Linked DNA regions of Bombyx mori. The protein of the gene in region 2 interacts with the protein of the main gene of each other region in a pairwise test. Links are inferred from orthologs where the notes say so. Each region holds a gene or a part of one and is shown on either strand. Other genes may lie near its edges.

The links. The genes of interacting proteins can lie anywhere in the genome.
Region 1: the proteins of epidermal growth factor receptor (region 2) and protein lin-7 homolog C interact in a two-hybrid assay, tested with the Caenorhabditis elegans proteins (3 studies listed by BioGRID). The link is inferred for Bombyx mori from reciprocal best matches to the Caenorhabditis elegans genes let-23 and lin-7.

Annotation. Positions count from the first base shown.
Region 1 is NC_085116.1:14,600,992-14,605,430, forward strand, and holds protein lin-7 homolog C, read right to left. Parts: upstream 2,886-4,439; 5' UTR 2,115-2,885; coding exon 1,518-2,114; 3' UTR 1,019-1,517; downstream 1-1,018.
Region 2 is NC_085107.1:5,355,024-5,359,461, reverse strand, and holds part of epidermal growth factor receptor, read left to right. Parts: coding exon 1-5; intron 6-351; coding exon 352-2,191; intron 2,192-2,274; coding exon 2,275-3,123; 3' UTR 3,124-4,438. UniProt on the Caenorhabditis elegans protein: Tyrosine-protein kinase receptor which, upon binding ligand lin-3, activates 2 signaling cascades: the let-60/Ras and MAP kinase signaling pathway and the let-60-independent phospholipase C-mediated Ca(2+) signaling pathway.

The DNA.
Region 1 (4,439 bases), on a different chromosome or scaffold from region 2:
ATTTAAAGGAGTATCTCTGCCACCTTCCGAGCCTATTGTTATTGTTGAGGTTGATATTTTGAGTGGTATTCTGTATTAGAGTAATTGGAAGATAAAACCAAGCTCACTGCCAAAATGATGAAAGTCCTCTACAAAGTGATGCAGTACTTCACATGTACACAAAGGCTTATACTTTAAAAAGCGCCAGTTCAGTGTAGCATGGAATACTGCTCTTAGCTGTGCTCTCAAATGCCAGTTATTTCCATTTGACTGCATACTGATGAAGGTAATTCAGATTGTCAACAGTTCTACTATTACCAATAATATTGGACCTTTCGGTCTACAGAGGGCCTTCAGTTCTGTACCACATGTTCCACAGGGAGTGCTCTGAGTAATTAACATGCCCCACTATTTCACACCACAACACCGCTCACCACATAACTTTTTAATATATTGATAAGTAAAGAATTTGTAAATCGTTGTGGCTTAAAGAATAAGACGTCAGGTGCATTTGTATGTAGTGATGCATCAGTGTTTGAATCCCACAAGCAGATGCCGCTAAAATAGGTACTTAACAAATGTTCACGATTGACTTCCACAGTGAAGTAATAGCATCGTGTAATAAGAATCAAACCTGCAAAATTATAATTTACATAATCACTGGTGGTAAGACGTCTTGTAAGTCTGCACAGGTAGGTACCACCACCCTGCCTGTTGTTACTGTCAAGCATTAATGCATTTCGGTTTGTATGATGGGGCAGCTGTTATACTGTTAAAAGTGAGACGTAAATGTCTACAGGCTCCAGTAGCCACATAAAACAAGGTGGGCCGAGAGCTCATCCATAAATCTAAGTAATAATTTACTCATGGTAGAAATAGACAGAATAGTGGTAATTAACAAGGTGCAGTTACAATCTGTTTGTACATCTATTCAGTTTGAGTCATAAATACTTTCTTTTCTTTAATTGTTCTGTCGAGGGCACTTCTATGATTATTGAGGTTGACTACATTTGTAGAAATCACAATTGTTGACAATAAATCTGGTACAGCCTCAATTATATTTTAATATTAACTTAAAAACTAAATTAAGTACATACAATAAACATTCATAACATGTGCAAAAACTTATAATACATCTACAATACATTCATTTCGTTTATTTAAGTATTTTAATTAGTAATTAATTGTTAAGTATTTTAAACATGTGTAAATAAAAGGAAATTTCTTTAAAACACCGTTTAGATTTAAATAGAAGAAAACTTTATAATTAAATTCACACTAACAAAGTTTTCATTTAATATATAAATAAATAGCAGATTGAATATTTTTCAATACTTGAATAGTTCCCAATTTTTAATAGCCATGGTCTCCAACTGCCAACTGATTGGGTGTAAAAGTAATATAGGTTTTTATAAAATTAAATAAAGTTTTACAATGCCTTAAAGATTATCAAAGTTCCTCATTAAAACATAGGATAAAAATAACAGGTACATTAATACACTTTGTTTGATAAATGACTGCAAAGCCGGTGAAAAATTTTAGTTGTAGTTTTGGCGTCGCCGTGTAGTTCTTTGCTTGTCGAATCTCATCTCCATTTCCTCCAAGACCTTTGGTGTGTACCTGACAACTAATTTTACGGATCCCACGGCTTGCTTCAGAAGTTCTACGGCTTTCTCGTGATTCTCGCCTTCAACTGAGACTCCGTTAACGGATAAAAGTTGATCACCCCTCTTCAAGCCACCATGTCTGTCAGCAACTCCGCCCGGTATTATCCTAGATATATAAATCGGAGAATTTTGTTCTTTTCCGCCCATTACGTTGAACCCTAAGCCTTCCTCAGTTTTCGGCAGTTCCACTACTCGAGGGTGAGCGTGTCCTTCTGCAGCAGCAAATGCGGCCACCGTTGCCTTTGCAGTTGCGGAAGCTCTTATGTCTGCGGAGCCTTGTATGTCTACAGTCTCGTAGACGTGCTCGTAAACCTCTCTTACGGCATTTAGAAAGTCGCTCTGCAAAACTTTCTGGAGAGCAGCTAATTTCGTTGCAGGGACTTCGCCACTCTGTTGCAGTTTCTCGAGTAATTCAATGGCACGTTTTATATCCCTAGCTAACGTTAACTGTTCGCCAGTGGTAGTCATTTTGAACACTTTTTGAAACTAAAGTAGTATACACAAAATTGTGAGTATAAATTAACACGAAATATACTTTTAGAGAATAATAAATTTATGTAGAAATCAGTGATTCAGTGACTAAATCAAATCAATTGAATTCAAAGAGTAAAATATAGATGATACACTTAAAAAAATAAGAAGAGTACTAGGTATCTATGGTGTTAAGAAATAAAAGGATTGGACTATATTTTTAAGTGTGTAGGATATTTCTGGGGATTGGATTGTATGTTCAAAAAATCTGTACAATAACGGACAGAAATTATCACTGAGATACACAAATAAGAGAATGACTGACGATAACTAGGTATCTGTTATACTTGATGAACATATGCCTTCCACAAAAAACATCACTGCACTTACCAAGACAGCCAAGATTAAACGGTTTTCAACTTATATAATTTTTAAATTGTATAGACAGGTTAAAGAACTCACGACCAACTTATTTTCAAGTGGGTACCGAATTCCTCCGCAGGATGTTAGTACTATCCGAGATTGGAAAGTAGGCTTACTCTTCATCTCAAACAATTCTGTTTAACTGCCAGGGAAATAGGAATATGAGAGAGTTAACAATAAAGTCACTTTTACTCAAATTAGTTTGTGAAGTTTTGGACTTGAATCACATCAAGTGTTCCATGATAAGTTTAAAAAGTCAAATTCATCATATAATTACTACTGATGCTCCATCAGTGTCCGCTCATGAAACCTGGCACCCACTAACTTATTGCAGCCCAACCATCGGTTTTCTTTTCCTTTCCTTTACCTATAAAATTGGATAAAACTAAAACAGAACATGAAACGGAAAAATGTCAAAATGTCAGTTGTCAATTATATAGCGACTAAGAATTTTATTATTTACAATTCAATAAAAACATGTTTGATTCGTCTATCCACGAACAGTATTAACAAGTAATTTCTTGCTCATTTATACATATTTAGCTGTGCAACTGTGCCATTTGTTATTTGTGTTAGTGTAGTGAAAAACTTAATCTTAAGTCTGAAGAAAATATGGATGACCTAGGTGAGTTCATGTTATCATAACCTGTTTGTGTACTCCAAATTGAATGCCCTATGACGTGTTCTCCTAAAAATAACTTTGAATTTGCATTTGATTCCTTGCCGAATCTTCTAGTGAATTTACATGGTACATTATAATATACTTGACATGTTTACTTTCGTTTGATAAAGTTTATCACTGTCATTTGGGTCATAAGTTAATTATTTAATTGATAATGCTTAAAGTTTCTTCGGTAATTCAAGGTTTTAGCATGTATAAGCTCTAAGTAAATTATTCCTCCTGATTATGATTGCTTTCTTAAACAACAATTGTGTCAAGTGACGAAACAGCTGATGAGTTTTATTGAAATCATTAAAGATACGTAGGTACCTACTATACCTAGTTTTGGAATTAACTTATGAAAACAGTGTTTCATAAGTAGTAAGACACTTTCTTTTGATAAACAATCTTTTTACATAGAGCTGTTACTAAAACTGCTGTTGTACATTATTGACAATAGTCACTATTGACAATGATCATCTATTAAGTCATGTGGCTTCGTTTTAAATCAATGAAAACAAGGCTTAATTGAGATTCAGAATGTGTAAATAAAATAGCTCGTACAGCTTTGTATATCCTATTGAATTCTGACATTATGAATTCTGGCTAAAATAATGGAAAAGTGATTATTTCAATGCAAGTGAGACTTACAAATAGTTTTAAAAGGTGGTTACACACTATGAATTCAAGTCATTCATTTCCATCAATTGCAATTTAAGGTTAACTTTCCATCAATGCTATTGTGGCTTGGCTCTGCCCCTGGTATTGCTTATGTCCATCGCCATCTTCGTGGTACGTATACATCGTTCTACAAGAGCAATAAAAAAAATATAAAAGAGAATTTTGATAGGTTAAATTCTACCTTAAACACCATAATACAACTAAGGAACTTGTGAGGTGTGTTGCCTGAGGTTGAGTCATCAACCTGCATGTTGTAATTTCATGTACATATATAAATGCCTTACAATGTATGCTGATGTAAATTTGATCAAAATATTTTGAATAATGTATTAGTAGATTTGATTTTGTATGAAAGAATCTGCTTCACTTGGCTGGCTTGTGATTGTGTGCTTAAAGTACTGTTGGAACAGTGAATAGTAGATTTTGGAGTCGTTATGGCTTAAAGAATAAAACTGCTGGTATACCTAAGGTGAGCGATGTGACTATGCCAATGCTCAAATCCCTCAGGCAGGTACTGTTTGTTTTAATAAAATACTAAGCACATGCTTATGAATGAC
Region 2 (4,438 bases):
CCAGGGTGGGTATTACTTCTATTTACGCACTTATAGTGGCATCGAAATTGATACTGCACAGCGAATTTTCAAAAGAACAACATATACTTTCGGTTTCTTCATTTCAATTATTAATTATAATATTAAACACACAAACACACACTTAATTATCATAATCTACAACGACAGTTACCAGCATCTAGCGGTCTTATTACCATAACAAAACCTAGTAGCTGACGTGTGGGTAGCATTCTCCTAACGGTTCGATGTCCTAACGATGGTGACCTCATTGTTTGTTTAATACACCAAATCTATCTTGGTGTATTAAATTGTAATTTATGTTATTTATGCTGAATTTCATTACTGTTCCAGATTGTACAAGGCTGACCACAAAAGCTGTAAGCAATGTCACTCGGAGTGCCTTGACGGATGCACTGGAGCAAGTCGGGCGAACTGCACCTCCTGTAAGCATGTCCGAGATGGCCCTTACTGTGTTGCCCAGTGTCCTGAATCAAGATATGCCTCAGAAAATGGAACGTGTCACCCATGTCATCCTAATTGCAATAATGGTTGCACGGGTCCTGCGAACACTGTCGGAGAAGGCGGATGTAATTCCTGCAATAAAGCTATAATAAGTGTTGAAGCCACAGTTGAAAGCTGTCTCAAGGAAGACGAACCGTGTCCAGACGGGTATTATAACGAGTGGGTCGGTAACGTTAAACCTTTAGAAGGAAAAGTGAAAATAGCGTGCAGAAAATGCCATCCCCTATGTATTAAATGTGTAGGATTTGGAATCCATGAACAAGTATGTCAAGTATGTAACGGTTTCAAAAGAGGGGATCAATGTGAGGATGAGTGTCCATCAGATCATTTCACTGATGAAATCGGCAGAAATTGTACACCTTGTCACTCAGAATGTAAAGGCTGTACTGGACCTGGTCCCACAGATTGCATCAAATGTAAAAATCTAAAGATATTCTTGGGTGGTTCTGATGCGAGCGACGAAAACGCTCCATTCAACTGCACTGATACATGTCCAGATAATATTCCTAATAAAATATATTTTGATGAACAATTACAAGACCCAATCGAAGAGCCGTATTGTTCTGAACACGCCAATGATATCCCAACCGCAACTGCAAGAACATCAACAGTTTTAGTTATAATTCTGGTCATAGCTTCCTTGTTCTTGGCGGTTCTTGCCATAATTGGATATAATTTCCGTCAAAAAGCAAAAGCAAAGAAAGAAGCTGTCAAAATGACGATGGTGTTGACAGGGTGTGAAGACAACGAACCACTGCGTCCAACTAACGTCAAACCAAATCTTGCCAAATTAAGAATAGTAAAGGAAGCTGAGCTTCGCAGGGGTGGTATGTTAGGATTTGGTGCTTTTGGAAAAGTATACAAGGGCGTATGGGTTCCTGAGGGAGAAAACGTTAAAATACCTGTCGCTATAAAAGTGCTAAAAGAGACAACAGGTGCGAACACTAGTAAAGAATTTTTAGAAGAAGCTTACATAATGGCTAGCGTCGAACATCCAAACCTATTACAACTTCTAGCTGTATGCATGACCAATCAAATGATGCTCATCACTCAGTTAATGCCGTTGGGGTGCTTAGTTGACTATGTGAGAACACATAAAGAGAAAATAGGATCGAAAGCATTCCTTAACTGGTGCACACAAATAGCTAGAGGAATGGCATACTTAGAAGAAAAAAGATTAGTGCACAGGGATTTGGCAGCCCGTAATGTTTTAGTACAAACTCCCAACTCAGTTAAAATAACTGATTTTGGACTAGCCAAGCTATTAGATATAAATGAAGACGAGTACAAAGCAGCTGGAGGTAAAATGCCAATAAAATGGTTGGCACTAGAATGTATACAACATAGAATTTTCACCCACAAAAGTGATGTTTGGGCTTTTGGTGTTACAATTTGGGAGATTCTCAGTTATGGCGCCCGACCTTACGAGAATATCTCAGCACGAAATGTACCCGAACTAATTGAAAATGGATTGAAATTACCGCAACCGAGTATTTGCACGTTGGACATTTATTGTGTTATGGTATCATGTTGGATGTTAGATGCGGATAGCAGACCGACCTTCAAACAACTAGCTGATACATTCGCTGAAATGGCGAGAGACCCTGGTAGATATCTTGTTATTCCTGGAGACAAGTTTATGCGCCTTCCATCCTACTCGACACAGGTAGTTGATATATTCTTCGTTTAAAGTGCTTTATTTCAACGAATATTATTAGTTTAGTTTTCTAATTGTAAATTAAAATGTTTCAGGATGAAAAGGAAATGATAAGAAATTTGTCATCGGCTATGGAAGGTCCAGAATCACTAGTTGATGCCGACGAATATCTACAACCTAAATTCAAAAGTATGACAGGTACAGTGACGACCAACTCCGCTCTCAGTGCGGGCATGGAAACCCAAACCAGCTCACTGAAACCCTGTACATCTTCTTCGTGGCCTAATAATGCTGGTCAAGACGGGGTCCCCGACCCATCTACTAAGCCTGAAAATTGGGATCACGAAATGTTGCGATACAACAATCAACTGAATCCCGATGGCTCAGAAGTACGTCATTACTATAATAACGGCGTATGCGCGTCTGACACTTCGAGTTCGAGATATTGCAGCGATCCTATGAAAACGAGAACCGAAGTATCTTTGGAAGATAACTTCGACGGCATGTCCAAGGCAAAAGAAGCTCAAGTCGGTAATTTAAAACTGAACTTACCGTTGGACGAAGATGACTACTTGATGCCTTCCCCACAACATACTCAGAACGCTTCGACGTATATGGATCTGATCAGCGAAGGCTGCGAAGGACAAGACGTTAACGACATCCGTTTCGGGGAATTCGTGAGTTCTAAACGTTGCATCGACAACCCTGAATACTTAATGTCAGAAGAAAGCGTACCGCCTCAGACGTTGGGTATCCCGACCGAACCAGTTCCACTGGAGTCACTGTCCGCGAGCGAAGAAAGCGCCGATACCACACCTCGTCCAGGTACTAGCAATTATATGCCGCAGCGTTCTGTAGAGGAGGAGTCCATGTCAGACCACGAGTACTACAATGATCTGCAACGAGAGCTCCAACCTCTACGACGGAATGAAACGACCGTCTGAATGCAATTACACAGCACACGATCCATTTGCAATTAATCTGTACTACACCATCTCCGACCAGGAATGTTACCACCGTTGCTATGATCATCTGGGTTTAAATATGAGTTGTGTGGATTTGATAATTATTATAACATTTAATTGTGCGCGTCGCATCTGTCTAGCGTCTAGCAGAGTATTGTAATTTCTCTTATCTCAATTGTTTATGGGCAAGAGCGCGCGCGCAAATCCCGTGCCATTGGACGATGGCTAGTGTTGGATCGATCGTAGTCTAAAGAGAATTTATACTAACATAGGAAAACCAATTTGTTAATTTGTTTATAATCATTAATATTTTTTTTGTAAAGATACTGTTAAAACTTTATGATTTGTAAAAAATATATATAATTTCTATAGTGTGTTTTGTACACCTAACAAAAGATTTAAGTTATTTATTAATTTAGTTTAAGAATGGCTATGTTTAGTTCTCTCGGATGCTATTTGTTTAGCTTAAAGAGCATTATTTTTATTTTAAAACTGTGATAATTAGTTTAATTTCGATACATTGCGGACCAGTGATTTTTTTTTATTATGTCCACTGTCTGAAAATTATGTGAATAAGCATTTTGCACTTTACATAAATGAATACAGATAGATAGAAAAATGCAAATAAAAATACAGCGTATTAAAGTACTGATTTTTTTTTGAGTTTACTGTAACATTGCAAAATGTTTAGAATTACAGTAAGACCCCGCTTAGCTTATTCTTTAGCTAGATATAGCGTAATATTATACAGCGTTATACGAGATTTTCTCGTCATGCAAATAATGTAAAGTTAGGAAAGACGGGTTCCTAATCGTCTTTATGGTCAAATATTTTACCATTCAGTTTATAGATTATGTATTTTATAACAGTAAAACAAAAATGTATTTCTTACAAATATAGAAACATAATAAACGAATATACTATATATAAATATATAAACAAAATTCTAAGTATCTTTCCATTTCAGGCCATTCTTCTCTTCAGTATTTCCAATTTTCTGCCTTAAGAATATTGTTTATTGTTGAAGTTTCCAAATCTCCGATTGACGTTGACCAGTATCTAATCTTTTAATCCATTGCATCTTAGTTTCTGGTGAAATTCTTTTTCTTGTTGCTTTATCTTCGCATTTAATTATTACCCAACATAAAAACTTCAAATCATAATATTTGTTAGTATATCAATTGTCATATTGTATAAATTTATACTTACAATAACGTCAAGAAATGTTTGATACGATAAAAATACGTTCCAATAACACCACAGGAAAGAAGAAACACAGATAAATAGCTTCGAA